Linked DNA regions of Arabidopsis thaliana. The protein of the gene in region 2 purifies or fractionates together with the protein of the main gene of each other region. This does not show direct contact. Each region holds a gene or a part of one and is shown on either strand. Other genes may lie near its edges. The genes, in order: CAM9 and CPK30.

What was found.
Region 1: the proteins of CPK30 (region 2) and CAM9 purify together in Arabidopsis thaliana (affinity purification with western blotting, with the first as the bait; one study listed by BioGRID). This does not show direct contact.

The regions. Positions count from the first base shown.
Region 1 is NC_003074.8:19,262,821-19,278,160, reverse strand, and holds CAM9 (calmodulin 9), read left to right. Parts: upstream 1-8,502; 5' UTR 8,503-8,846; coding exon 8,847-8,922; intron 8,923-9,015; coding exon 9,016-9,176; intron 9,177-9,266; coding exon 9,267-9,344; intron 9,345-9,842; coding exon 9,843-9,983; 3' UTR 9,984-10,210; downstream 10,211-15,340. Other genes in the region: AT3G51940 (oxidoreductase/transition metal ion-binding protein), read left to right, coding at 3,004-3,091, 3,168-4,453; AT3G51930 (Transducin/WD40 repeat-like superfamily protein), read right to left, coding at 5,242-6,489; HSFA7A (heat shock transcription factor A7A), read right to left, coding at 11,542-12,096, 12,604-12,867. UniProt on the Arabidopsis thaliana protein: Potential calcium sensor.
Region 2 is NC_003070.9:28,072,182-28,088,701, forward strand, and holds CPK30 (calcium-dependent protein kinase 30), read right to left. Parts: upstream 10,491-16,520; 5' UTR 10,296-10,490; coding exon 9,656-10,295; intron 9,503-9,655; coding exon 9,359-9,502; intron 9,279-9,358; coding exon 9,126-9,278; intron 9,001-9,125; coding exon 8,885-9,000; intron 8,791-8,884; coding exon 8,623-8,790; intron 8,527-8,622; coding exon 8,296-8,526; intron 8,192-8,295; coding exon 8,018-8,191; 3' UTR 7,765-8,017; downstream 1-7,764. Other genes in the region: EDS16 (ADC synthase superfamily protein), read left to right, coding at 1-82, 175-249, 332-400, 513-631, 718-775, 872-982, 1,075-1,159, 1,251-1,348 and 1 more; QKY (C2 calcium/lipid-binding plant phosphoribosyltransferase family protein), read left to right, coding at 2,992-6,237; AT1G74730 (transmembrane protein, putative (DUF1118)), read left to right, coding at 6,814-6,966, 7,207-7,650; AT1G74750 (Pentatricopeptide repeat (PPR) superfamily protein), read left to right, coding at 14,619-16,520.

The DNA.
Region 1 (15,340 bases), on a different chromosome or scaffold from region 2:
TTGTTACAGGAAGTGAAGTAAGAAAAGAAAAAAACTGATAAAATAGAGAGACCCTTAATAACCAAAAAGATGCAGAGGTGTAAAAAATAAAAAGCAGGAAATTTGATGTAAGAGATAGGAGAAGAGAAAGAAGGAAGATTGTTGTACCATTTCTCTAGTTTTAATGTGTTATGTGATGATGGACCACACAAGATGATGTAATATGATATGATATGATATATATAATATAGGACAAGAAGTGTAATCTCTCTAAAGATATACAAAAGAAAAGAGAGATTATCATTTGAGTTTGAAAAGTCAATATGTTCTTGTCCGTGCTAGTTATTACCCTCTCACTCTAACTACTCTCCAACTTGGGAATCCAGAGATATCAGCTTTTGGTGATTTTTTCTTCAACTATAATTTTTGATTTCTAGGTTATGCATCTTTGTCCTTAATAAATGCAACTTTGGTGAGGTGGAAAGTGTAAAAAGAGTAGGTGATATATCCATGGTTATTACCGTGATTTAAGGCAAAGAAAAGAAGAATGTTATGAACGTATGGTCGTATTATTGCATGTAAAGACTAAAGTTGTGATCGATATCCAAATTGTGTGTCCTTAATGACTTAGCAAAAGCAAGGACAGTGGTGTGTGTGGTGGTGAGACACGCGCGAGAGAGTGAGTGCCAAAAACTTAACACACAACATTACAAAAATAGTTTGTAACTTGTGGTCTACTTACAACTATGTCTCTTCTATTATGTGAAAGTTGGAAAGAAGGTGTTTTAATTCATCATATCACCACCCTATGATCAAACGAATGTGAAGGCCAAGCTCTTTTGAGGCTAATGATACAAATATATGATATGATATGTGTGTACACAACGATTTTCAAGCTTCTTATAAATTGATCCTTTTTGGGGACTAGGGTGATAGTTTTAGTATTGGCTATTCGTTGTAAAGCTAGAAGCTTAAGTATGCATGTCGCTTCCGAGATTCCGCTTAATGCTTATTTTTCTGGTCACAAAACAACTAAAATTATTGTACAGTATAAAACAAGAAGAATAAAAACAACTTCGAAATAGGAAAACAGGAGGAAGAAAATAATGGGATCCCACGAGCCAACACACAGGCCATGTGGTGTGGGGATATATATTTCAGAAGTTGTGTTTTGTGGAGACATGTCCACATATATACTTCCAATATCGGTTTTACAAATATTTATACATATGTATAAATTAGATGATACGTGAGACGTCAACTAGTTTTATGGCTAACTAATTAATCCTACCATCTACTCAAAACAATTTTCTAAAACATTTGCCAGTTTCATTACATCTTTTGCATTAAATTCTCTAAAAGTGAGCAAAAATGTTTTTACCGTTCCTTAGAGACAAAGGCACTCTCATAATTCACATCCGTACAAATAGGTAGTGGCAATTAATATTGAGGACAGTGATGAAATAAATCGATGGTAGGGATCTTTGACCATTGGTATTGGTTTCAAAGAAAGAGGCACAACACACACTTGGACTTGGTCGATTCATTAAAAATCGAACCCCAACACAACTGCAATTAAATGGAAACGAAGAGAGAGCTCAATCATCGAAGCGTGAGAGTCACGACCAACGAGAAGCGAGTGGATGTCTGGAAGAGTGGAAGCAATGGAGAGTGAGAGAAAGTTAAAAAAAATGATGTTGTCAGAGGGGGTTGAATGCAACACAACGTGCAATTTACCTTTTATTGTCTTAAGATTGGGCCCATTTTCTCTTTTTTCTTCTCTCGTTTTTTTTTTTTTGTATTCTTTTCAAAATATAGCAATTTCTACGAAAGTAGAGTAGAAAGATCTGTTTGAGTAAAAATAGCATTATTAAGAGCGAATCGAATGTGGAAGGCGACGTCATTTTACTGATTGGTGTAGTAGATCAAGTGAATGTTGAATTTCTTTTATACACCATTGACTTAACTAGCGTGAAGTCATTTATTTTGGTTTTAGCTCAATAGTTAATAAATACTATTGTCAACTGATAATAATTCAATAGTTATTCAATACACACATGCATAAATCAAAACTTTTTATAAAAGAATTCAAATTGTTCTCAGATATAAAATGGATTTTTTTTTTTAGCAAAAAAATTAAAGAAATATTATGGACATTGAAAAAGAGAGCTCCACAATTTGAAGTTGTTCTTGAACAAATTCCTAGGATAGGAGTCTGCTATGATTATGATCACGTGCATTGTGGTTGCTCATTTAGAAGCATTTGATTTTTTATTTAAAGAAGTTAAAAATGTAGCACGATCCAAACTATGCCAATGAACAGTGTATCATTCACACCATTTATAAATCAATTCATGATTAACTCATAAGCAATACACACCTTAATTGACCAAGAAAACATGACGATTGCAATCGACCTTTATAGCCCAATTATATATGGATTTAGTATATTGGGACCATTCATAGTTCATTTTTCCAACTTTTTAAGTTGAATGAGTTGAATCATTTTTCTTACTTATTCATCTTAAGTGGTAAAAAAATTGGATGAATGGTCATTCAACTCTTTCAATTTTTTAAATTTTAGGCAACCATTTCCACCCTTAAAGGTTATGTAGTCAAAGGTAATGCAATCATTCCTTTTAGTAAGATTTTCGTGTAATATCTAACGAGAGATGTTTAATTTGTAACGAATAATGACTAATAAGTTAATTTCATGGAAGTAATTATTCAGTTTAAAATGGCTTTTACTAATTCAAAAATGTTTATAAATGTATTCACAAAAAAAAAAAAAAACATTTTATAGCCTAATTATATGTGGACCTATTATATTAGGCCCATTTATAGCCCACACGAAATGAAATCGGGCCGTTACAGAACCGGAAGTTGAATAGACGACACCACCGACCGAATTCACTGCTCTCTTCTCCAATTTCCAATTTCCAATTCGTTTGCTTCATCAGCTCCCAAATTCTCCCGCTGACCCCTAAGTTCTACAAAATCCATCATCGTCGATTGAGATTCTTTATGGGAAAGTGGAATCATCGATCCAGACACCACCGTCGCAGGTCTCCTGAGCGGTGGTATAGCGGACGTCAATCTTCTTCTTCTTCAGGTATTCTCCTTGTTGATCTTAATCTCCACTCTTAATTTGCTTAATTCTGTATCTTACAAGTGTTTGATTGTCAAAGTTTATTGTGAAGACGATGGGATTCCAGTTTGGGAAAAGAGATTCTGTGAAGTGATTGGATCAGTACCATGGCAAAAAGTTGTTGAAGCTAAAGACTTTAAGAGCTGGTATAATGGTAATGTTATCACTTGGGATGATTCTGCTTGCGAAGACACTTTTCACAATGAGAAGAAGCGGTTTTGGTCACAAGTTAATGGTCTTCATTGTGATGTTTCTATTCCTGATCCTGATCTTTACATTAGTGAAGTAGATTGGGATACTTTTGTTGACCCGGAACTGATTAGAGATTTAGAAAAGGCTTACTTTGCTCCTCCTGATGATGTGAATATTGGTTTTAAACGGGGGCGTGGGGATAAGAATTGGAGTGGTTGTGACACAGTGCCTGAGGCTCGTATGTTAGAAACTCCATGGAAAAATAGTGATGACATTATTGAAACGGGGAAGAAATCTAGTGGATGGAACCTAACAGAGGGTAGTTCTTGGGAAGCTAAGCCTTGTTGTGTAAACGAGAAAGCAAATGATACAGCTTCAGGGGGTTGTTTGACGACTGAGGAATGGAGGGAGAATCAGTGGATAGCCAAAGATAGGGTTAATGACAGTTGGGAGTACTCGGGCCAGGGAAAGGATGATGGATGGGATAAGTCAGGGCACCAAAACAAGAAAGTAAAAGGTTCTGAAGAGTATAAAAAGATCGACAATCCTTGGGAAGCCCAGCCTAGTTGTATAAAAGAGACAGCAAAAGATACCACTTGGGGAGGTTGCTCTGGTGAGGGATGGGAGGATAGAGGTTGGAATAATGATTCTTGGGGCAGTGGGGGATGGGATAACCGGGATTTGGGAAATCAAGGTATGGAGATGAAGGAGTGGCGTGGTAAAGGATATAGTCGAGATTTTCGGGAGCCTAAGGGTTGTAATCCATGGAAAGGTGGGTTTGTGCCTGACAATGTAGCTTTCAGAGAATCTGGGGTAAATGCAGGCGGTTGGCAAACATGTAGAGGGAGTGAGACAAAGCAAATAAATTGGGATGTGAAACGAGCCAGTGATGGTTGGGGTAGGCAAAATGACAATGCAGCTTTGAGAGAATATGGGGCAAATGCAGGTGATTGGCAAAGACGTAGAGGGTGTGAGGGAAATCAAAGAAACTGGGACGCAAAACGAACGGGTGATGGTTGGGGTAGGCAAAATAAGGAAAGAGTTGACTCATATGGCTACCATTCTAACTACAAAAACTCATGGCCTAGAAGAGATGATTATCAGAACAGGAAGGTCAATTTCTCAACTAAGTAAACCAAATGATCCATTGTTTTTTGTTATGTTTTTTTTTTTTTTGTGTTTGAAGTCTTAGCTTGTTATGGTCTGTGCAGGCAGTGTAGTTTTAGCTTAGCCATTGACTTCCATGTTAACTCAAAAGGCATGGTTTTGTGTTTCCACTTCAGAATTAGCATATGTAGAGTATATAGGAGTACCCTTTTTGATGATAATGTCTCATACATACTAAAGTATTCAAGGTTTTTGCCTTTTGAGGCTGGATTGATAATGATTGTGTTCTTTGTGAAGATGTTTTATTCACACTTTTCTTAATTGATTCCAACTTCGAAAAGAAAGGCATCTACACACATGAATACACTTATGTTTTGGCTCAATGCATTCCTTAAAAGCTTCCTCATCTCATTTTTATATTCAAAACTGAGTTATTCTGCTTTAAAGAGTGTGATTTGGAATCAACAAAGTTGGGTATATGCTTCACTTTCAAAGCAATGGGTGCGTCTGCTTTGCATGATGGTGATGGAGAAAGTTGCAAACTCTGCTTTACTATTTGGACGGTGAGCATTCCATTGCTACAGTTTCAATACAAAGCAAAGGTAACCCAAAAGCATCAGACTTTACTCTGTTCTATATCATTAGGACCAAAACAGTTGGTAGACACAAATGTTAACAAAATAAGAATTCAATTCATATAATTTCTTGAAAAAATCCCTCATGACTTTACAAAATGAATAACAAATTACAAATATAAACCAAAACGTATATGAAAACCAATCCAAAAAAAAAAAAAAAAGTACTATATCTTTCACTCATTCCTTTTGCGTCAACAATGTCTTAAAGCTTGATTTCTTCTCTTCTAAGTTGTCTTGTTTTGGTACCCACCAAACCCTGAGACTCTTGTCAAGGCCTCCACTGTAAAGCATGAAGCCAGCACCGACATTGTTTGGCGACGCTTGTAAGCATTTGACCGGACCTTCATGGCCATGTATGACTCCGAATTTACAGAGCATGCCAGTCACTTCTCTCCTCCACAACCCAATGCTCTTATCAGCCGATCCACTGCATACCATTTCCCCAACTACACACATACACAGAACTGCCATGTTATGTCCTCTTGTCTCAAACCCTAATCTCCATTCCTCAAAGTCTCCTTCTTTCTCTTTCTTCTCCCATCCGATCACAAACCCGTCTGATCCTCCTCCGTATACCCAATTACCGTCACCGGAAACCACCACCGAGTTCACTGACACCTCTGCACGACCCTCCAACGTAGCCTTCAAAACATGTAAAGAAGAGGAAGAGGAAGAAGTAGACTCAATCTGCTTTCTCTTCTCTTTCCCCCATATCTTGACCTTCCCATCTGCGGAAGCAGAGTATACCCTGCCATCTCCGGCGACAAGACCATTGATTGCGTCATCATGAGCCTTGATCGATTCAAGACACTTGAGATCCGACAGTCTCCAGACTTTGAGAGTCTTATCCCACGATCCAGAGTAGATTATCCCAGCGTGTACCGCAAGGCACGAAATGCTATCGGCGTGTTCAATCCAGAGACGCTTATGGTTCCTCCTCGTCTGAACGTAATTGCTCTGTTTCATAAACTTCCCCAGATAGTCTTTAGTCGTGGGAAGTGTATCAACAAGCCTGAAAGCATTCTCAGAGTTTCTCCGAGAAACTTTCCAAACTCTGATTCTACTATCTTGATGCGCCGTGAACACTTTGCTTCCCACGCTGACCAAAGCCTTCACAGACCCATCACCTTGTCCGAATTTCGCAAAGATCTTGAGATCAGGCTGTTGCCAAACGATGATATCTTTTCCCTGAGACGCACTCAGCAAGAACTCACCACAGAGCGCTAAGGAAGAAACAGAGCCGACATGAGCAGAGAGAACAGCGAGTGGCTTGTACGCGCCGGTGATAGGCGGACGGAGAGTGTTGAGGACGAAGCTTTTGGTGGACGCAGATGGGCTGAGAGAACCGTCGGAGTCGTTGCTGTTGCTTGTGGTTGAGGAAGAAGATGAAGACATCAAGACTCCTTCTTGGATTGATCTCACCATCGTATCAAGAGATTCAAGATTTCGTTTCTATTTTGGAACAGAGAAACCAACAAAATTGGAGCGTTTGAGGAAATGTTAAAAAGAGTATTTATTTTTAAAAAGGAGGAGAAGGTGCAACGGCTACATTGACAGGTGGCGTAGCCTCCTTTTTTTGCCTTTTGCTTATCATTTGCGCATTTTCATTAATTCGTGATATATGGCTCATGGAATCTTATAATATATGAAACCACTTCAGGAGCCTTAAATTTAATGTGTGCATATCATAGTAACGGATTGATCATTGTTCTCTTGTTTGACCAGTGATGTTAATTGGACCATATGTGGATACTGTAACGTTAAGGATTATGAAAATCAAGATATAGATATATGTATTTTTCAAGTATACGATATACCAAATTAGTTACGACAAAATGCGAATGAGTTGGTAGTAATGAGTAAACCTCAAAATACTGTTTTTTTTTTGTCAACAAACTTATGTTATTATACTTGGATGACTTAAATAAGCTAAACCGAAAAACATTGTTTAACCTCAAAATACTTATTTAATTAGTTGGTAGCATCGTTACATATTATAATTACGACTACGAGTTAGATTCTCAAATAATATTCCCAAATGGATATATTTACATCGATTGATGCATGCTTATTTGTAGTGATCGTCCCTTATGTATATTATGTTTTTATTTTATTTTTTGAACATAGTATAATATTGGTGGGAGAAGACAAAAATAAGGGAGCTCTGCCATCTAATACGGGAATCAAGATATCTGTTTTACATCAAACAAAGACTAGTGTGATGAAATGAAAGTTAAGTTAACAACAATAAAAAACAAAATTAGCTGAAAATGTAATCAAATGAGAGATCCGAATCCGATCTCCGCTAAGTAAAGCGTAGTGGGAGCGTAAATTCGCGTGAGTCTGATTCTGAATCGTATCATACATACCAAATCAAACATTAACGTTTATGATCTTACTTACCCATATCTTATTTCTTAATTTGTTTGGTTGTTTGTAAATGAGAAATACACTATGATAAGAGAAGAAGATCTAAATGAGGCATAGATCTCTAGATACCAAAACAGATAACGCCACCAACTAACATCCAATTAAGGATATATAACACGGCATCTCCCTCTTTAGTAAGCTTACGACCAAAGTAGTGTGACTAGTGCGGAACATTTTTGCAGTTAATACTACTTAGCCTCAATTCTTAATTATGACCGTATGGGACAGGGTAGGTAGGCACAAAGCGGATATTGTTTTTAATATATTTGCATCGAATTTGGTTTGTTGGATCGATAATCTTTTAATATGTATCCGCTTTTGAACTAGTCTATTCTCCGATTGTAGAATGAAACATCTATCCGAAATTCTAATTTGTAGTATTAGTGATTTGTTTTGTTTTTAACAGTATTTTAATATTTGTTTAAATTTGTAAACTTATGGTTATCCAGACTTTTTGAATCATTCAAAAGTGGAAAACAGATCGAATGGAAGTATAGAACACTACAATATATTTTCATATTTTTCTTAGCCGTAAGCCACTAATATTGGATGGACATAAACATAAGAGACCCCACAATATTTATCAGATTAAGCCTTTATTCACATTACAATGTTTCGTTCTCAACTTCTCATCATAACGTGAATAAAAGTAGGAGTTAGAATTAGAACACAACATCTCTAACAAATCTCTTATCTGCATTGCTTTGGAGAGACATGTTTGTACAAGAAGAAAAATGTTTATGGTCAGTCCGTTTTTTTCATATTGATTACCTTTTAAATCCCATTTGGTATTAAAAAAAACCCACTTCTAAGATATGTTTCGCTTTTTATGGTAACAAGACATATAACTTTTCAAAGTTACTGAATGGAATTCTTGACAGAAGTTGTTAGGACACTAAATAATGGAAAATCAAAATCAAGGGTTACATTAGAGACACGCGTACATCAATTATTTCTTAAAATGCAACTTGGTGTACGACTTTTAATTCTTGAGTCCTCAAACCCGAGCATTACTCCACCCTTTCTTTTCGCAATAATCAAGATCCTAATTTAATTCCCTATAAGTATTTTTTCTAATAACTATGAAAATAAAGAAAAATAAGCGTTGAAGTCATAAGTTTGAACAAAGACGCGTGACCTGGAATCGTGCTCAAGAAAAAATATCACAACTAATGAAAACGCAAGGTCATGAGTATTGACCTTGACCGGGCAAGAGCCTAGAGCCAAGAGGTGATGTGTACTTAAATGTGATAGATGCTCCCTTCTTCTTCTCTCATCACTAACAAATTAAGAGAAGCTGATCATCAGATTGAATCAAAGACAGACTTTGACTTTTCTTTGTGATCGAAGATATGGCGGATGCTTTCACAGATGAACAGATCCAAGAGTTTTACGAAGCCTTCTGTCTCATAGACAAAGATTCCGATGGTCTGCTTTGTTCTCTCTCTTTCTTGTTCGATTTGATACACAAATTTATTCAGAATCGATCGGTTTGATGATGTTATGATGCATGTGAAACAGGGTTCATCACGAAGGAGAAGCTAACGAAAGTGATGAAGTCGATGGGGAAGAATCCAAAGGCGGAACAACTGCAACAGATGATGAGCGATGTTGACATCTTTGGCAACGGTGGCATCACTTTTGATGATTTCTTGTATATTATGGCTCAAAACACTTCTCAGGTAAAATATATATACACACTTAAAACCGTTTAGTTATAGTAAAGATTGATAATTGTAGAGAAAAGTTAATAATGAAAAAATTGGTTGTAGGAATCAGCATCGGATGAGTTAATTGAGGTATTCAGAGTGTTCGACAGAGACGGAGATGGTCTCATATCTCAACTTGAGGTAAATAAATTGTCTAACTATTTACCAAATAGTACATTGTCCTGACATGGAAACAATAAAAAACGAGTTACATACATATATAATAAGATTAAGTGATCATGTAGATGGATATAACGAAAGAAGAGAAATTACTAAATGTTACTTTTTTGAAGACCTTGTTATTATTATCTTTATAATCTACTATCATTCACTCATTACAACACAAATTTTTGTCGCCATAAGAAACTCCATTGCTCATATGGTCTTGTTTTTTTTTTCTCAAACCGACACGGCGACAACACAACAATCGAGAGACACATAGTCACATACTACTTGAAAAATACTTCGTTATCTGAATTAAAAAGATTTATATTCAAAAATAATGCAAAAAAGATTGGTCATTTAACTTGGTCAAATGGTTATTAGCTTACTTTTATAATATAAGCCATTCTCTTAACTCTTAAGTCTTAACTATAGTTTATTTAGCCATTTCTCCTAATTTCTATAAACGAAATGCAGTTGGGAGAAGGAATGAAGGACATGGGGATGAAGATAACAGCAGAAGAAGCGGAGCATATGGTCCGAGAAGCCGACCTTGATGGCGATGGTTTTCTTTCTTTCCACGAATTCTCTAAAATGATGATTGCTGCCTCTTATTAGCATTTTGTGAAATGCCATGATTTAAGAGTTTGTTTTTGCACAATTACAACTATATTTCAATATGTTACTATATTTTCCCAACATATAATTAAAGTGTGTGTTACTGAATCAATGATTTTTTTCGGTCGATAAAAAACTATAATATTTTTCCTATCCAAAATTCGAACCAAACCAAACCAAACCAAAAGTATTGTTCTGTTTTAAACATATGTTTTTTAAACCGGAAAATCCAAACCGAACTAAACCGAGAGTAATTATCTGACTCGGTCACTCGACGGTAGCGTGCCACAATTGAACTGGTGGTCGATCCTTAACTTCCATCTTCAATCCTTGCAAAACCCTAATGAAGAAGCAGTCTGAAGAACCAAAAATCAGTGGTTTTTTAATAAGTAAATGGTGAGAAAATCTGTTGAACTGTCGAATTTGTTTATAACCTATCAGCTTTGCTATAAATTGTTTGTTCCAAATTCCAATTCAAGTCCCCATCATTGAAGGTTAAGTAGCTTTGCTTTTTTGTCTGCCGACGGTTGTTGTAGAAATTTATGATGTTCTTGATGCTTGTCACTTTCACTCATATTGAGATCTGTCTCTCGATTCATGTTTCTTCATCACAGTGGACACAAAATGACCTAGAAGCTGAGATAGTATATTTACATTGAGTAGAGCAATTTAGTACTTGCAATATTCGTTTTAGTAGTGTCTAAAAAAGATAAGGCTTTGGTTGAACTCCATTCTAAAACCCTTACGACTGATTGAGCAAGAATCTTTACATTGATTATAGCTTTGTTTCCGTGGAAAAGTTTCTACAGTCCAGCCATGCAAACAAGGCGATGGCAACATAGGAAGGAGATAGGAGATTGATTAGATTTTTTTTTTGTCAATCAACAACTAGCTGCTGTAGAAGAAACTTTAGATCAGAAAACAGAACAGCTAATCACTGCTAAAGAGTTTTCCTCTTCTTTGTCATGAGACATTCCACCATCTTGTGGATTCTTGATCTTTGTAGCAATCTTCTTGCTCATAGTTGTCTTTGCTCTCATTTTAAAGTTATTTTCTTGAAGACTAGAGATCAGAATTTTGACCGGAGAGAGTAAACCATATTACATGATTCCACTAAATTAACACTGTTACAGGTTAGAATCACGGACATGGATGATTGCTCACTCATGTGGACTTGTCTTAACACTGACCCAAATAAGCCAAAACTCCTTAATAGCATTAAATGATGTGAAAAAGAGAGATCACATTTGGAAAAAGGGTTTAGGGCAAAAAAGAGTGAAGCAGACAAAGACATCATTCAACGTCATCAATAGGTCTTTGTAAGAAGAGATCAGAGAAGAGTTTAGATGGAGTTAATAACAATCATATTTATCACATACATATACACATATATGAAAGAATTAACCATTTTTTTGTTTACACTACTACTACTACTACTTGATAACAAAATTACTGCAAATTAATTAAACAAACAGAAAAAGTTTTTTTTTTGTGACAGAAGAAAATGAGCTTGAAAGTAGAAGAAACTAAAAACAAAACCAAAAAGAAATCCATCTAGTTAGGAGGTGGAAGCCAAACTCTCATCACTAAGCAACTCTTCCCAGAAACCATCATCCAACTCTCTCTCTACCACCAGTTGATGATCCTCTTCTTCCAACATATTCCTCTGTTTTCCATGCCCTTGCATCTCCAAAGCCAAAACTTCCAATTCCGACATCGAAGAAGAACCTCTTTTCCTCTTTGCTGACTCATTATCCTCAAGCTCCTTAATTTTTTTATCTCTTTGTTTCAACAACTGATGCAAAAACGAAGGACTCTGCATTGCTCTAGCCAGAAACGACATCATTTGTCTCTGTTTCCTCTCTGTTCCTTCTATCCTCTGTTCCATAGCTTTGATGTAGCTTTTCGTTGTTTGTTGCTGCTGTCTTAGACTCACTATCTCCATCATTAGCACTTGCTTCTCTCTGCGAAGCTCGTTGCAAGCGTCATGGCTTGGTGAAGATGATGGAGTAAAAGGGTTTCTCCTCTTGATGTTCTTCAACAACTGTCTTTGTCCTAACAAAAACTCTTCGTTTGCAAATTCCCATCTCTCTGCTTCTATCTTTCTGAAACCCTGTAATTTTTTTAACATAAGTATTCAAAAACTAATCTTTTGAAAGTCTACATATTCTCACAAACATCAATAATTGGAGTGAGAACTCTTTCTATGTTTTTATATGTTAAAGAATGGAACAAGTGGGCAACGTTAAAGCTGATTAGTGAATAAACAATGGAAATTGGGATAAGATCGCTGACTGTTTCTTTTGATTATTTTAGTAAGCAAGTTGACACGAAACTTGCTTCTGGAACTTACTAAACCTTCTTCTACTCCACTAGCCATTACGGAATCTACATTTTCGATGTTTCTAGAATGCTAAATTAACAACAGATTCTGCTGTAAAAAATGACTTTTTTCCATTACCAAGTTAATTATATAGTAACATTCAGAATACTTCGCGGTAATTTTCCAGCAACAAGGGAAATGAAAGTTAAAAAAATAAAAGAAAAAAACAGAGCATTCCTCTGCTTTGAATGCTCTGTTTTGTGTTTGGTCAGAGAATACAGAGCAGAGAAGACTCACATAAGTATTGAGTTGTCTGATGAAACTTGAGAAATTGCTGTGTTTGAAATGACGAGGAAGGAGAATCGTGGAGAAAGAATGCAAATCCCAGACGACAAAACTTGTTCCTCCTCTGTTCCAAGATACGATGTGGTCAGTGTTTGGATCATCCACCATCTCAAATGTCTTGGTCAGAAATGGAGGTGGAGCATTTTCGTGTAAACCCTCCATTGGTTGTGGTGGTGGTGGTGGATCGCAGCCTTCCGGGAGAAACGGGTTCATCATCCTGAGGTAACGGGTTTTGAAAAACCCAATTGGAAATTAAAGACAAGATTCTTGATGATTTCGATTAACCAGTCTCCGAAGTTGAGTTCATCATCTTCGGATTTTGAAAAACTGGTCGGATTAAGTTCGTTTATGGCAGTTGATGGAGTGAGGAAGGTAATGTCCACGTAAGATAATTTTGAGGTGGCTTTATATAGGAAGAGTAGAAAGTGAGTGATGATATTAGATTTGATTAAAATATTTGTAAAAATTATTATTATAGTACACTCAAGTTAGAAATTAGAAACTTCTGGAAACGGTTTTGGACCTTTTTGATGCACATTCGAATAGTCGAAACTTCTGGAACTTCGTAATTGAGGACTGTACGGTATGGTTTTCACATTGTTAGTATTAGGACCCACCTTTTGTGTTTTACAAATATAAAAACAAAGAGTGATGCAAATGGCAAATTGTAATTGGGTTAAGTTTGGTTTTAATGTTGATGTGGCTGTTGTCTCATCTTGACATTTGGCTTGGGTCTAAACCGGATTGGTTAAGGCTAAAATAAAACCAACCAGAAGTACTCCAAGAGTTGATTGACAAATTCCCTGCAATTCGAAGGCCTCCATTAATTTCTGACTAGTAAATTTCTTAGGTATTTTTCTTTATAATATATAAGTTAGAGATATTTATAAAATATACACTTTTATATTAATATATGGCTACAAAACATTTCTTCTTTTTAAAGCAAAAACTTAAACCCTTAACCCAAAAGAGAAAAAATGGGTACATGCCTTAAAATGGACTACTCAGGTAATTCAGAATTGGTCGGTCAGAACAGTATCTGGAGCACAACTTCGTTGTTGTATTTTTTCTTTACATTCGTAGAACATAGTTTCTAATCAACAAAAAAATACACGAAAAAAGATAATAGTAATTCACTAGCAAACAATTTGTATATATTTTTTGTCGTTTGACCTTCAAGAATGGGTACATGTATTTAAATCAGTTTATTCTGAATTGGCCGGTTAAAACAGTATCTGGAGCAGAACTTCGTTGTTGTTTTTTTTTTACATTCGGAGAACATAGTTTTTTTTAATCAACAAAAAGAAAAAAAGATAATAGCAACGCTAGCAAACAAATTCTATATAGGTTTTGACCATACATAGAACAAATCCTAATTGGTCCGCTTGGACTCTTCCTAGAAGCTGTAGACTTCGTAGCCACCTTTTTGATGCAATCCTCAAACATGTGTCGAACAGTCTAAGTGACACTTGATGCATTACCGCGATGCCTCATGGTACGTGTTTGTACTCAACATCTGGTCTGTAGTACCAGAGACAGACAGGATGATAAAATATAGTAGAGATTTCGAATTATTTTATATTCAGCAACCTGCTTAACAAAATAATGTGGAGACATTTGATTGAACCATTTCTTTTGACTTTTTCTCCGAAAATATTTTTTAATAGTATGAATGAAGTTACAATTCGGGATTATAGAGTAGACTAGCTAGTTTAGTATTTGGTAATTGGTGCTTATCGATTAATTCTATGCGTTAATACTTTGTTACGTATAAGCATCAATTTTGATGGTCTATTTATTTATTAAACACAAAATTTCATTGTCTATTTCAAAGCAAAATCATGACATTTTTTTATTTTTTACTCCATTTTAAACAAGTCATGTTGATTTATGATATTGTTGTAGTTCCACTAAACACGTTTTTCATTTAATTGTACGTTTGGAAATAAATATGTTACTTAAAAGAGAAATATTGGCATAATATTACCTCCTCTTCGTAAAAAATTATTAAGATTTGTTATGAAAAATACTATTTGTTAAGAGACTAGTGAATTTGGATCCTCACAAGGGATGTGTACCATCAACCATGTTAGATGTATTGTCAAGGCCCAAAATGCGAATAATGGGCCTGTCTAGACCCCCAAAACATATAGTGTCATATTTAGTCCTTTTTGTTCGGCTAGCAAACAATAACCGGTCCACGGTCCACCCATGCTAGAAAAATTGTCTTGCTTTTGTTTTCTGGTTACTACGGGTGATCTCCAATATGCCATTGTACACTCGTCATTTTCTAATGCCCGCGTAGGACATGCGAAAAGTTCGAGGCAAAATTATAACGAAATTTTATGAATATGTTTTCCTAAATTGTCGAAATTTTGAATAACCTATATATATAGATTTACAGAACACTGTTGATTTTGTTTACTTTGGTTCAGAGAGAAAATTTTGGTACCAAAATCTTTTGTTTAAATAGTCATTTTATATTACTTTTAAAAATAATCGATTTGGATTTGTAACATTTGTTGACTAATTGTCCCAAATAATTATTATGGATATTTCAATCGAATTGGTATATGGCTCCATATGTTAAATCGAACAATTGCTATTTACAACTACCTGAGCTAAATTGTTTATTTAAATCGAATTAGTTAATCGGGCAAAATCAAAAGATCGTGTATTTTTATAAAAT
Region 2 (16,520 bases):
TGTTCCTACCAAAGGAGCTTATTTCCCTGCTGTAGAGAAGGCTTTAGAGATGATTAACCAGAAAAGTTCACCCCTTAACAAGGTAGTTTAGACTTTAGAGATTGTGTTCGTATCTATTCTTAAAACAAGTTTATAGGTTTCGTTTTAACTGATGTTTTTGGCTCGTGGAATTAGGTTGTTCTTGCTCGTAACAGCAGGATAATTACGGATACCGACATTGATCCCATTGCTTGGCTAGCACAGTTACAGGTGTGTTTTTATCTCTGGATATTATATAGTAGTCAGTTTTCAATGTTTAGATTTATATCTCACTAATTTTTTTGTGTGACAGCGTGAAGGGCATGATGCATATCAGTTCTGTCTTCAACCACCTGGTGCACCAGCTTTTATCGGAAACACGGTAGGTCTTTTTATATGTAGTCTGTGATAATAAGTTCTGTTGATAAAGATATGTGCACATTTGTTATTTATTTCTAAGAAATATGTTTGTGACATACATCTTTGTGAAACAGCCTGAGAGACTATTCCAAAGGACTCAATTAGGTGTCTGCAGTGAAGCTTTGGCTGCAACTAGGCCTAGAGCTGCTTCTAGTGCTCGTGATATGGAGATAGAGCGTGACTTACTAACCAGGTCAATTTTTACTTCAAGTGCTTTGAACAATTACAGAATCCAGTTCTCCATTATCATTTTACTGAATTTTTGCTAAACTGTTGCAGTCCGAAAGACGACCTCGAGTTCTCTATCGTACGAGAGAATATAAGAGAAAAGTTAAACGTAAGTTCAATCTTGATGCTCTGCAGCTTCAATGCTTCATTTCTTGGATAATAGTTTGGTATATTTTTTCTTATTATGCTTTCTTCTGCTTTGCAGGGTATATGTGACAGAGTTGTTGTCAAGCCTCAAAAAACTGTGAGGAAGCTTGCAAGAGTGCAACATCTATATTCTCAATTGGCAGGGAGACTTACGAAGGAAGATGATGAGGTGAGATAATAGTATTGGAATAGTTTTTACATTTCCAAGCTCTTCATTTCTTCGAATTAGCTTTAACCCTTTTTCTTTCTATCTGTCTATAGTATAAAATATTGGCTGCTCTGCATCCAACTCCAGCTGTTTGTGGGCTTCCAGCAGAAGAAGCAAGGCTTTTGATTAAGGAGATAGGTAAAATATCTACCTTGGTTCAACTATCTTCTAGTAACTATAGATGTAGAGATTAAGAATTATGCTGACTCAAACATTTTGCTTCTTCTAGAATCATTCGATAGAGGAATGTATGCGGGACCTATTGGATTTTTTGGTGGCGAGGAGAGTGAATTTGCAGTCGGGATCAGATCAGCTCTAGTCGAAAAGGTGAGCTTATTTGATCTCTTTCTCCCTTTAAAAAACACACTTTAACACTAATTGTTATAGCAAAATCGATCATTACGGTTTTTGCTACAACTTGTAAAAAAATGCTGAACTGTATTTTGATTTACAGGGTCTTGGGGCATTGATCTATGCGGGGACAGGGATAGTAGCTGGAAGTGACCCATCTTCAGAGTGGAATGAGCTTGATCTTAAGATATCTCAGGTACGAGCTTTTGTCCAGAAAATGTTTAGTGACATCATGGTTCTCTGTTACCAAAATCCTAATTTTTATTCTCTCTTTTGTTGTTGTTTTTGCAGTTCACCAAGTCAATTGAATATGAAGCAACAACATCTCTACAGGCGATTAATTGAAGAAAGAGTAACATTTGTATTTGATTGTTTTGTTTGTATGGGGGATAAGGGGTTCTCACAATAAGAAAGCAATGTTGTCTCTCTTGTAAATTAAAAAAGAAATGCTTTAATTTGTTAATGGGCCGAGCCTTTTCGGGTTGTAACTAGGGCAGGCCTATCATGAATGTTCATAGGCCTAGCTGTTATGATTGTTAATGAGCTTCTATAGTGTTTTTCTTCAAAGACAGATATATTCAATATGGATCTAAAACTGAACTGAATTTAACTGACATGACAATCGAATCAAATTGAATTTATTTTTTCAATTTTCATTTAGCAAGAAGTGACCCATCTTCAGAGTGAAGTAATCTATGCTTATTATCTCGATTAAGCAAAAATCCGTAGAATGCTTGGGCCTTTCAACGATGATGTAGCCGTGTAGGACAGGTTTACGGAATCTGCTTTTATGCAAATGGTAAATATTAATATTCCTTTATAAGTTAGCGTTTCAGATCATCTTCTTTCGTTAGATTAAGAAACTACTTTGTTATTATATAACTATAAATACCATCCAACAACCTTACTCGCCATATCTTTTCATGTGTGGTGGTTTATAGGAACATTGAAAAGTACCATATTATAAAATGAAGAATCAACACGTCAACAAAAACACAAATAAAATGAGATAGTACAATTAAAAAAATGGAGCGCATGTAAAAAGTGAAGAATCAAACGAAGGCTTGGCGATAGAGAATGGAATCAGATTTCCCATTATCCCCACTCTAACACCATATATTCCTTTCCCTTTTTACCCTCCACCTCAATTAGGTTTATTAATCATATTTAACACTCTAATTAACCAACCCATTTCATCTCTTTTATTTTACTAATCACAATGCTTTGGCCTCATTACGTTTTACCTAGATTTACTTTGTCACAAACTACACAAATATGAACCTAATTATCTACACTCGTGTCAGAAACAGTTTTAGCTAATATTTAGTAAGTTTTAATTAAAACTAATGAAATGAATAAATAGTGTATAGTACATAGGATTTGTTTTTAGTTTATTAATGGAAATTAAGATTTCATTAGTACTAAAAACATGTAAATAAAATAAAGCTTTAAAGAGGAATATATTCAAATAAAAAAAGCAAGACCTCGAAAAAAAAACTTTCTATTATCTCTCTTCCGCGATTACCGTAATCTCTGTCACAAACAACAAAACCTTCTCTCTCTCACTATCTTAATGAGAGAAGAAGACATTCTCGAGAAATGAGAAGACTACCACTACGATGAACACGACGCCGTTTCACTCGGATCCTCCGCCGTCGAGGATCCAGCGTAAGCTCGTTGTCGAAGTTGTTGAAGCTCGTAATATTCTCCCTAAAGATGGTCAAGGAAGCTCTAGCGCTTACGTCGTTGTCGATTTCGATGCTCAGAAGAAACGAACCTCCACTAAGTTCCGTGACCTAAACCCTATTTGGAACGAGATGCTTGATTTCGCCGTCTCCGATCCCAAAAACATGGATTACGACGAGCTCGATATCGAGGTTTATAACGATAAAAGATTTGGTAACGGAGGTGGCCGGAAGAATCATTTTCTCGGTAGGGTTAAGATCTATGGAAGCCAGTTCTCGCGAAGAGGTGAAGAAGGTCTTGTGTATTTCCCTTTGGAGAAGAAGAGTGTGTTCAGCTGGATTCGCGGCGAGATTGGACTCAAAATCTACTATTACGACGAAGCCGCCGACGAAGACACGGCGGGTGGAGGTGGAGGACAGCAACAACAACAGCAACAGCAACAATTTCATCCGCCGCAACAAGAAGCCGATGAACAACAACACCAGCAACAATTTCATCCTCCGCCGCAGCAGATGATGAATATACCACCGGAGAAACCTAATGTAGTTGTGGTTGAAGAAGGTAGGGTTTTCGAATCGGCTCAGAGTCAGCGCTATACAGAGACACATCAGCAACCTCCGGTGGTTATTGTTGAAGAATCACCACCGCAGCATGTAATGCAAGGTCCAAATGATAACCATCCTCACCGAAATGATAACCATCCTCAACGGCCACCGTCTCCGCCGCCACCTCCATCGGCTGGGGAAGTACATTATTATCCACCGGAAGTGAGGAAGATGCAAGTAGGAAGACCTCCCGGCGGAGATAGAATTAGGGTTACGAAGAGACCACCGAATGGAGATTATTCACCTAGGGTTATCAATAGCAAAACTGGAGGAGGAGAGACGACGATGGAGAAGAAGACTCATCATCCTTACAATCTTGTTGAGCCAATGCAGTATCTCTTCGTTCGGATTGTGAAGGCGCGTGGCTTACCACCTAACGAGAGCGCGTATGTTAAGGTACGGACGTCGAACCATTTCGTCAGGTCTAAACCGGCCGTTAACCGGCCCGGCGAATCGGTTGATTCACCGGAGTGGAATCAGGTTTTTGCTCTTGGTCATAACCGGTCTGATTCCGCTGTAACTGGTGCGACTCTTGAGATCTCTGCTTGGGATGCTTCGTCGGAGAGTTTTCTCGGAGGAGTTTGTTTTGATCTCTCTGAGGTTCCGGTTCGTGACCCGCCGGATAGTCCGCTTGCTCCTCAGTGGTATCGGCTCGAAGGCTCCGGCGCGGATCAGAACTCTGGGAGAATTTCCGGTGACATTCAGCTCTCTGTTTGGATTGGTACTCAGGTAGATGAGGCATTTCCGGAGGCTTGGAGCTCTGATGCTCCGCATGTAGCTCACACGCGTTCTAAGGTGTATCAATCGCCGAAACTTTGGTACTTGAGAGTGACGGTTCTTGAGGCACAGGATTTACACATAGCTCCTAATCTCCCGCCGTTGACTGCGCCTGAGATTCGTGTGAAAGCTCAATTAGGGTTTCAGTCGGCGCGTACAAGAAGAGGCTCAATGAATAACCACAGTGGTTCGTTTCATTGGCATGAGGATATGATCTTTGTTGCTGGAGAGCCGTTGGAAGATTGCTTGGTTCTGATGGTGGAAGACCGGACGACTAAAGAAGCAACACTTCTAGGACATGCCATGATCCCAGTGAGCTCCATCGAGCAGCGAATTGATGAGCGTTTTGTGCCGTCGAAATGGCACACTCTGGAAGGAGAAGGTGGAGGTGGAGGTGGAGGAGGAGGACCTGGAGGTGGTGGTGGTGGTGGACCTTATTGTGGAAGGATTAGCCTTAGACTTTGTCTCGAAGGTGGGTATCATGTGCTTGAAGAGGCGGCGCATGTATGCAGCGATTTCCGTCCGACGGCTAAGCAGCTATGGAAACCGCCGATTGGAATACTTGAGTTGGGGATTCTTGGAGCTCGTGGGTTGTTGCCGATGAAGGCGAAAAACGGAGGGAAAGGTTCCACTGATGCTTATTGTGTTGCTAAGTACGGGAAGAAATGGGTCAGGACTCGAACCATAACAGACAGTTTTGACCCGAGGTGGCACGAGCAGTATACGTGGCAGGTTTATGATCCTTGCACCGTGCTAACTGTTGGAGTCTTCGACAATTGGAGGATGTTCTCTGACGCCTCCGATGATAGACCTGACACACGGATTGGGAAGATACGGATCCGGGTGTCGACGTTAGAGAGCAACAAAGTGTACACCAATTCATATCCTCTGTTGGTTTTGTTACCTAGCGGTATGAAAAAAATGGGTGAAATTGAAGTGGCAGTCCGGTTTGCATGCCCGTCTCTGCTGCCTGATGTTTGTGCAGCTTATGGACAGCCGCTTCTGCCTCGGATGCACTACATAAGGCCTCTAGGTGTAGCACAACAAGATGCATTAAGAGGGGCCGCCACGAAAATGGTAGCAGCTTGGCTGGCTCGAGCAGAACCACCATTGGGACCAGAGGTAGTTCGATATATGTTAGATGCAGATTCGCATGCATGGAGCATGAGGAAAAGCAAAGCGAATTGGTACAGAATTGTTGGTGTTTTAGCTTGGGCAGTGGGTTTAGCTAAGTGGTTGGATAATATCAGGCGGTGGAGGAATCCAGTGACGACGGTGCTAGTCCATATTCTATATCTGGTTCTTGTTTGGTACCCTGATTTGGTAGTCCCGACTGCATTCTTGTACGTGGTGATGATCGGAGTTTGGTACTACCGGTTTAGACCCAAGATACCGGCTGGTATGGATATCCGCTTATCACAAGCTGAAACCGTCGATCCTGATGAGCTAGATGAAGAATTCGACACCATACCAAGCTCAAGGCGACCAGAAGTAATCCGAGCTAGGTACGACCGATTAAGGATCTTAGCAGTGAGGGTTCAGACCATTCTAGGAGATTTTGCAGCGCAAGGAGAACGGATTCAAGCGTTGGTTAGCTGGAGAGATCCGAGAGCGACAAAGCTGTTCATAGCAATCTGTTTGGTAATCACAATAGTTCTGTATGCAGTTCCTGCGAAAATGGTGGCGGTGGCTCTAGGGTTTTATTATCTTCGGCATCCGATGTTCCGAGACACAATGCCTACGGCTAGTCTCAATTTTTTCCGGCGGTTGCCAAGCTTGTCCGATCGACTCATCTAAGGAGAGAAAGATGTCAAGATAGTAAATGTTAGGTGTTTTTGAGTATCCAACAGTTTCTTGGGCTGAGGAGGAAATAGAATAAAAAGATTCATTATGGGTTAAGAATTTTATCATATTATTATGATTCTTCATTTTATTATTCAGATTCTGTCGGAAACTATAATCAGATGGCATGAGCTTTGAGACCTGTAATATTTTGAAGGAAACGAGAGAGATTTCAGATTTGAGAGGTGAAAAAGGAAGCAAAACTTGTCAGTAAAGTTTTTTGACCACAGATTTGCTTTTGGTATCTCTGTAGTTTTCTCTGTAATCTAAAATGATTTACTAATTCCTCATTTAACTTATTTTGTTTACGCCTAAACTATTACATGTAAACATTGTCTGATTATATAAATTCTAAGTGAAAAACCGGAGATAAAGCGCTAACGAAAATGATTGGTTGAAATCACAAAGACATCATCTGACGTGGCAGTTTCTCTGTCTATCAGAGTTTCAGATAGTGTGCCAACGGCGAAACAAGACACGAAAGAATCTCTAAAGAAATCATTTTCATCGCTTCGCTTCGATTTTTCTTCAATGGCTGTCGTCGGCGCTCCAATATCGTCTCCGGCGGCTCAGCTGCAGACACAATTTCTCTCCAATCCCATTCTCCCCCGCTTTCGCCGGTCTTTCTCCACCGGAAAATCACCAGCAACTTTCTCCGTCGTAGCTATGGCTCCCCAGAAAAAGGTAACTAACTCTCTTAATCATCTCCTTTGTTTAAGTTCTGAGATCTTTTGCACTTTCATCAATCACTTCATAAAGTATAAATCTTTTTTGATTCTCAAGATAATCTTTAGAAACATGAATAAGCAGTACATTTTAGTAATGGAACAAAGACATTGAAGTCTCTGTATATAGTATTGTTGCAGAGTTTTATATATACTTTTTAATTTGTGTAATTGTGATCACTGAATCGGGTAACAAAAGGTGAACAAATATGATGCCAAGTGGAAGAAACAATGGTACGGAGCTGGATTGTTTTTCGAAGGGAGTGAGCAAATAAACGTTGATGTTTTCAAGAAGCTGGAGAAGCGAAAAGTGTTGAGCAACGTTGAGAAATCTGGCCTGCTGTCAAAAGCAGAGGGGTTGGGACTCACATTGTCATCTCTTGAGAAGCTTAAAGTCTTCTCCAAAGCAGAGGACCTTGGTCTTCTCAGTCTCCTTGAGAACTTAGCTGGAACATCGCCTGCGGTCTTAGCCTCGGCTGCATTACCAGCTCTCACGGCTGCTATTGTAGCCGTGGTGTTGATCCCGGATGACTCAACTACTCTAGTGGTTGCTCAGGCGGTTTTGGCCGGTGCTCTTGCGCTTACAGGGGTTGTTTTGTTGGTTGGTTCTGTTGTTTTGGATGGACTTCAAGAAGCTGACTGATTCTTTCTCTGTAAACCGAACATAAACCCATGTCTTGTCCAATTGATTTTTGTCAGTTGCTGATTTATAGCTGTATGGTTCAGTTGTTTATGGTTAGTCCAAGACATAAGCTGAGTGATAGAAAGAAGCTTTATAATAATTAAACAAATATTACATACACATTCATTCATTCTCCAGTGAAAAGCCTAACTACGCCCACAAATTACAAATTTCCAACTTCCCCAAAACCAAAAAAAAGAATCTCTAGAAACAAAGTGAAGTAAGCCAAAATCACATCTGAAAAAAGCCCAGAAAAAAACCCTTCATGAACGTGTAAGAAAAGCAGCCATCAGATTGCTTCTGTTTTGGTGATAAACAAGTGTAAAGATCAAACTGCAATAGATTGTCCAGTGAGTGCGTCGTGTAGATGCATTGACCCGTCTTTCATCAAGTTTAAGCTTAAGCTTTTAAACCTCTCTCTTGAGTATTGTCTTGATGCCTTTCTCCAATCAGTTCCAGCTTTCATCATCACCACAAACTCATCATAGTTTATTTTTCCGTCCTGCAAAATCAAACATTATGACTCCTCTTAAGTATTTAATAAACTTTCTATAGGAAGAGTCTTTATAGCGAGAAAGGAGCTGATGTATAGAGCTTTAGAAAAACCTTGTCAGTGTCGACTTCACGCATTATATCGATTATAACACTGTTGTCTGGTTCACCTAACTCGTCGGTTAAAGCTTCACGTAGTTCTTCTGATTCGATGTATCCACTTCCATCTTTGTCAAAGAACATAAAAGCTTGTCTGAAATGCTCATCATTCTCCATCTTCTGCAAGTGAATTATCACTGCTACAAACTCTCCATAGTCCAAGCATCCATTTCCATTAACATCCGCCTGCATCAAAATCATGAATGTAAGTACCAGAGAAGATAAACATCGTTTGATCAAGAAAAATCCTCATAAGGAAATGGTATTTGGTAAAACATTTACCACTTCCATTAACAATTTGATCTCTGGTTCACCCAGTTGTGAACCGACTTTCCGGAGTCCAGCTCTGAGTTCTAGATATGATATTTTACCGTCGTTGTCATCATCCATCAGCGTAAACATGTTTCTGATCACTTCAACTTCTTGAATAGACAAGTGTTCGGCGATAACCTGGAAGCATCAAAAGGGAGCAAGTAAGTTAAACCAATCAAAGCTCCAAACAAAAGTATAAACTCATCTGAAAAAAATGAGAGGCAACACTTACACGCAGAGCTTTCTTTTTCAATCTATTCATCATGGAGAATTGCTTCAACCTTGACCTAACAATATCCCCTAAAGGAACATTTGGAGCTTTCTTTGCATTCTGTATCCAAGGGTGATCTGCAAAGAAGGAAACAGAAACCGTTTTCACTTTAAATGCCATTTTCTCCATCTCAAATCCAACACAAGAAACAAGTAGCAAAGAAGATCAAAATTCACAAGTGACACAAGAACAGCATTATTACCAAGAACTTGCTGAGCAGTCAAACGCTTAGTTGAATCAGGTTCCAACATCTGCTTCACAAGGCTCTTTGCGCTCTCTGATATCTGCGACCAAGGATCTCTCTTAAAATCAAGAACTCCCCTCAAGATGGCAAGAGCCACACCTTGTTCAGTCTCTGCAATCAAAACCTTGAATCACTCAGTTACTCTCAATCAGCATATACAACTTCAAACAAGAATCAAATCTTTCTTTAACCTGCCCAAAACGGAGGAACACCACAAAGCAAGATGTAGAGGATAACTCCAGCACTCCACACATCAACCTCTGGTCCATAATTTCTCTTCAACACTTCTGGAGCCATATAATAAGGACTTCCAACAATCTCTGTAAACCTCTCTCCTGCAAAATGCATCAAAATCTCTCTTTTAAGTTAAATTCATAAGCAGATTCAAAGTAACACAATTGTCAACTCTTAACCAATGTGACCTGAAAGCAAAATGGAGATCAAAGATTCTAAATTTAGCAAAAAGATTCCATTTTTATGGAAATTACCAGGTTTAAAGAGAACAGATAAACCAAAATCAATAGCCTTAAGTGCAGAATTCTCCTTCTTGTTAGCAAACAAGAAATTCTCAGGCTTCAAATCTCTATGCATAACACCATTGACATGACACATCCTCACAACCTCCGCGATCGTTCTCGCGACGGTAGCCGCCGCACGCTCTGTATAATGTCCTCTGGCAACAATCCGATCAAAAAGCTCACCTCCTTCACAAAGCTCCATCACAAGATGCACGTTCTCGTTATCCTCATAAGTCGCTTTAAGTTTCACAACGTTTGGGTGTTCCGGTAAAGTTGACATGATCGTGACTTCACGACGGACGTCTTCCACATCGACGGCGGTTCGGAGCTTTCTCTTGGAGATTGATTTGCAAGCTAAAGCTTCACGAGTCTCTCTATCTGTACAAAGATACGTGATTCCGAATTCGCCGCGACCGAGTTCTCGTCCTAAGATGTACTTGTCGCTGATCTGAGATTGATGGCTCATAGGAATCACACGTAACGGTGCGTGAGTTCTTAAACCATCGGGATCGTCGTATGGGTTTCGTTGCCGTCCCCGTGGAGGTTTCTTCTTCTGGTTTGGTTTTGAGTTGTCTGGGTCAAACTTGACGCAGGCGATACAATTACCCATGGCTGAGTTTTTGAAACTCAGCAGAAGAATAATGAAGAAAGTAGTTTAAAGAAGTTTTCGTTGGTGCAAAATCCGGCGACGGCGTAGAGTTTTCCGGCGAACCGGTGAGTTGCAGAGAAGAGGAAACACGGGTTCAGCTGAAGAAAGTTTCGACCTTTTCGTAAAATTGATCAAAATGATTATAATTTTTTTTATTTATATCAAAAAGAAAATAAGTTAAAGCGACTTGATCTATCTCCCCTATATACTTAAACAAATTAATTACATAGAAACTGTAATTTTGAGCCATTTTCTAACCTATAATTTATAAAAAATTGTAAAATATTTTCAGTGATTAACAGTTAATTAATTGTATTATTATTACAGAACAAGTTTTAGTCTCTGGTGTTGTAACTAAAAGAGTAAGTAATTAAAATAACTATTAAAAAAATTATAGCCTTAGATCTGTTGATAGGTGGTAAAATGAAGGGTAGAGATGTAGCTTACGTGGAAGGGGAGAGTTTGATGAAGTTGTTGACCGTAGAAGTGGATACGGTGACATTGTCAAAAAGTGTGACGTTGGTTTCATTTGATTTGGTATCACCAAAATATTTTGTTTTGTTTTCAATTCAGTAATTATTATTGTCTTCTTGTCTTATATTATATGTCTATAGCATTACCTAAACTACCTGAATCTACAATTTTTTTTTTTGCTATTTGGTTTCTTAAATACAATATTTAAAAACTGGTTTCTTACCAATATACATACATATGTATATTTACAGATTTATCGAGTGGAAAATGTCTTCATTAATTTTTCGTATGAAAATAAATAACTTTGGGTTGTCAAATTCAAGATAAAAACTGGCATTGGATTTTCTTAACAAAAAAAAACCCTAGTAGTTTATGTGTGATTTGAAAGTTTCTACCAAAAGATTTGGTGAAGATAATTTCAAAAGCTATCAAATTTGTATCTAAGATATGAGATATTATTAGGTGTAGACTTTATCAATGTAAAGGAGTCAGCTTACTATCGGACTTTGTTTTGTGTAAAAAAATAGTAATCAAAACTAATATATGAAGATTCCATTGATCAAAGTCAACAAAAATGCAAACAAATGCGATCGTCTTGTTGTTTTCTCTCATATATTTCTCATTTTTATATTCGAAACTAATTGACAAGTGTGTCGCCATGTCGTGATCTTATTCGTTTGCTTTCTATAAATCGGGTTTACATTCACATCCTATCAACAACTAATTGGAAGTTCGAAACCGAAACTCTTTTTGATCATCATGTACATCGTCTAAACGATAAAATTTGTGCATATGAATATAAATATTTTTGTTTTATCACTTTATGTCACTCATCAAATTGATATCAGTAGGTAAAAAAGAAGGTCTTTTATTTATTTCCCGGTTATACTTTCAACCAACAATTAGTGCAATTGGCAAAAAGAGTGTGAAACGTTGAAAGTCATGCAAAAAATAAAAAAAGCGAGTCTTTGTAAATCAATACATTAGAGAAAACTAGCTATATAAGCCCCAAGTTTTAAAACTTGGTTATATTTTACTCGAACTTTGTTATGTTTATGCATATAGTAATATGTTATAAATTATTAAGACATAAAATTCCATAAAAAAAGATAAATCAATTACAAATAGATTAGTATGGATGAGATTGATTTTCACACCTAAAAAAAAAAGAGAGGAAATGATGGACCATGTTTTATCTTGTGCAACTTTTTAGCTGGCAAAAAGGATTTAAAAAGAAACTAACAATACGAAAAATTATTATTCGGAAAAAGGGACTTTCGTCGATGAAGGAAAAAACATGAGATTGTGTATGAAATGATGGGCTCAACTAGAATGTTTGAGATTGCATGTGTATGTGGCGTTGTCATGCCAACTATTCGATTTATTCAAGTCCCATCACTTTTCTTGCATAAAACTGTTATCTACAGCCTAAAACTATATATACTTTATGGGATAATTAATATTTTTATATGAATGAATCTTAAATTCAAAAAAAAAGAAAAGAAATGAATGAATCCATCATCCATGCCTTAGGCTTTGAATAGTGATATACCGGCGGGATGGTTTGTTTACCATCCATATCTCTTTTAAAACTTTTCAAGTAATAAGGAAACTCAATAAGTTTCTAGATTAGTCATGTTTCAGTCTAACTTTTAGTGTTATGAAGAACAAGAAAATGACAGCAAGTGATTTGGCATGGATCAAGTGACACAGGTCCGTTTTATTTACATTTTGGAATCTGAAATTCATTAATTTCAATGATTGTAGTATGTCTCTGACTAAGTTTGTTTTCCATATGTTGCACACTTATAGTAAATGATGAGGTTTGGGAGTGAATACTTTAGGGTTAGTTTAAGATTCTATGGGGTTTCAGATTAAGCTGTAGTATGAGTTTGTCGAAGCTACTAGGATCATATAACGAGCAAATGTCTTTTATACAGCAGCTATTTGGGCTTGAAAAACAAAGTTTGAAATGGGCTCATAAGATAACTGATAGGAAAGCCCAATATATTTTTCTTAGCTTAAAGAGAATACACTTGCAAAGGAGAACATAAATGCACAAATACAATGGCATAAAAGTATCTTTTTCAAAATATTATTTAAAACTTTGTTGTGCTTTCACATTTTTAGATTTTTTCAGATTTTTTATATTTCTTTTGGATTAAAAGTTTATAAAATCTATCTTAAAGAAAAGGAGCCGTTCTAAAATCTAAATTAAAGAGGCCACGGAAATTTAGTTCGGATCGAATCATACCCACAAAATCTCTCTCTAAACTCTAAAATAGTAAAGGAAATGAAAGTCACAAAACAGTCATATTCAAAGTAGTACAGAGAAACTTGAGGAGGACAGAACCGAAACGTTTGCTCAAAAGGGGAACAAAGTAATAAAAGACGAAAAGTTCAAAAAAAGGTTTTTACAGCTAAATCCAAATATTCTTTTTATTCCCAAATTCAATCACTAACTTTAAAAATAGTAATTCGACACCACATTGTTAACCGGGAAAAGCGATTTAAATAAGAAATTCTGAAATTCTTCAATATAAAACACTGCTAATATTATATTTAAAGAATATACTGAAAATTATGAAGGTATCGTAATCGAATCGATCAGATACAATTTAGAGTTGCCTAATTCATAAAAGGAAAAAACATTTATGGGTGATGTTATTTCATAAATACAAAGATTTAGGGGTATAGTTGAAAAAAGGTAAGTATGTTAAAGGAAAACATTTATTGAAAAGAAAAAAAGAAGAGAGTAAAAGCAAAAAAAAAAAAGTCGTGACCTTTGGAGCTAGTAGTACCCAATTTGCTTGGAGAGCAAAACAAACTTTGAAGCTTCCATATTTGACGGCCACAGAGGGAGAAGGCAATTTCGCCTTCTGTCTCTCCTTTTCTTTCTCATTTCCTCCTGAAGATTTCTTTTTTCTGTTGTCTGGGGAAAACGAAGCAGACGAAGGAAGTCAAACACCACCGTTTTTAAGGTGACTTCGTAGTCTTGTGATCTCGCTTCTGTTCTTTACTTTTCCGATTGAAATTTTGCTTCTTTCTTAGCAATAAATGTCATTGATTTCTGGGTTTCTCCTCTTTTCTCTTCTGTTATTCTGCTTTTCGTTGATATCGAGCTTGGAACTCGGCTGTTATCAGTTTTTGTGAGAGTTAATTTTGAGATTGAACGTATTCATAATGTTTGTTTGACTGTATGTTCTAATTGTTGACTTTAATTTGGTCAATATTCTTAAGATTTGAATGTGAATCAGAGGTGAAGAGAGATTCTAACAGAGGCTCAATTTCACTGCACATATTTTTTGAGCAACTGGTTAGAATGCATTTCGAGAATGGGGATGGTCTATTTCAGCTTAGACAATAGACATTGTTGTATATTCTTGTTATAGCCATTTTGGTATTATTGGTGTGTGAAAGGATGATACTTTGTGGAGAAGCTGAGAGAAAACTGGAAAGCCCAATTTTTATTCTGTTAAATGGGTTTTACTCTGACAATTATACAAGATATGGGGTGACTTTGAATAAGTAATGTACAAAGTTTCTCAATTCTTTGTGTAGAACTTCGTGGACAAGAGAGCTAGATGGCTAATAAAATGTAATTTTTCTTTGTAATTCATGGCTTGGTTACACGACCAAGTGTTGAAACCTTAATTACTGCGTTTGGTGGCTCCGTTGTCATAATTCTGGTGAGAGGCTTCAGGTAGTGTTATAGGTTACTAAGATAGTTTTGGGGAACAGTTTTTTTTAGTTCTTGATATTATCTTTATGTGTTTTCTCTAAGCGTGTGATTCTGTTTTCTTGCAGACGATGATTCGTGCAAAGCACATTAGTAATCTTTCTAGCTCAGCAAGATCATTTTTTCTTAGTGGATCGAGACCGAGTGCTGCTGATGGAAATTCTTGTACATGTGCTGAGGATGAAAGTGGCGTCTCGAAACGCCAGCAAATTAGGACTGAAGTTGTACAGACTGGTAAAAGAGCATCTAATTTAGCAGCTGGACTAGCTGGAAGTATATTACCAGTAGAGGCTGGTAAACCGCTGGTGGTCCCAAAGACGGTTGAGCATTTCACCCGGCCATCGCTTCTTCCGCAACATGTTTCCTCTCCTGCTTTGCCAGGGAAAGCAGATTCTGTAAATCATGCTTCTGCTATTATTAAAGAAGACGTGGGGGTACCTATTGGTGATCAGATATTCAAGGCTGGTATTGGAAATGTAAATTTATTGTCAGATATAGCAAACTATAAGATCCCTTTATCAGATGGAACTGAAGTTGTTGGTTTGCCTAAAAGCTGTATGGTTGATCCTACTCGGCCTATTTCAGGTGTAAAGTCTTCAAATGTGAAAGTCATCAGAAGAGAGCACCTTGCTAAAGTCTATCCTAGGTCCGCTGACCGAGTTCCTATAAACAGCTCTCCAGGTACTAAGCAAGCTTCAAATGACGTTGCTGGGAAGTCGTTTGAAGCTCATGATTTACTCTCTAACAATGTCTCTGGAAAGAGGAAAATCATGCCACAAAGACCCTATACTGATTCAACCAGGTATGCGTCGGGTGGTTGTGACTATAGTGTGCATTCTTCGGATGACAGGACGATAATATCTTCTGTTGAAGGTTTTGGTAAACCCTCAAGGGAAATGATGAAAGTGACTCCAAGGACTGCTCCAACACCTAGGCAGCATTGTAACCCTGGATATGTTGTAGAAAATGTTTCTAGTATATTGCGGAGATTCAAGTGGGGACATGCTGCCGAAGAGGCCCTTCACAATTTTGGTTTCAGGATGGATGCATACCAAGCTAATCAAGTTCTTAAGCAGATGGATAATTATGCGAATGCGCTTGGTTTCTTCTATTGGCTGAAAAGGCAACCTGGGTTCAAGCATGATGGGCATACGTATACCACTATGGTAGGTAATCTTGGTCGTGCAAAGCAATTCGGTGAGATAAACAAGCTTCTTGATGAGATGGTTAGGGATGGGTGTAAGCCAAATACTGTTACATATAACCGACTCATCCATAGCTACGGGCGTGCAAATTACCTCAAAGAAGCGATGAATGTTTTTAATCAGATGCAAGAGGCTGGTTGTGAGCCTGACCGTGTAACTTACTGTACCCTGATAGATATCCATGCTAAAGCTGGATTTCTTGACATTGCCATGGATATGTACCAAAGAATGCAAGAAGCAGGGCTTTCTCCTGATACCTTCACCTACAGTGTTATAATAAACTGTCTTGGAAAAGCGGGCCATTTACCTGCTGCCCATAGGCTCTTTTGTGAAATGGTTGGTCAAGGTTGTACTCCTAATTTGGTCACATTCAACATCATGATAGCTTTGCATGCCAAGGCGCGGAATTATGAGACTGCGTTGAAGCTCTACAGAGACATGCAAAATGCCGGGTTTCAACCTGACAAAGTGACCTACAGTATTGTTATGGAGGTACTTGGACACTGTGGATTTCTCGAGGAAGCAGAGGGTGTTTTCGCTGAGATGCAACGTAAGAACTGGGTTCCTGATGAACCGGTTTACGGTCTTTTGGTGGACTTGTGGGGAAAAGCTGGCAATGTAGATAAAGCTTGGCAGTGGTATCAAGCAATGCTTCAAGCCGGTCTGCGACCTAATGTTCCCACCTGCAATTCCCTTCTCAGCACTTTCCTTAGGGTCCACAGGATGTCTGAAGCCTATAACTTATTACAAAGCATGCTGGCGCTTGGT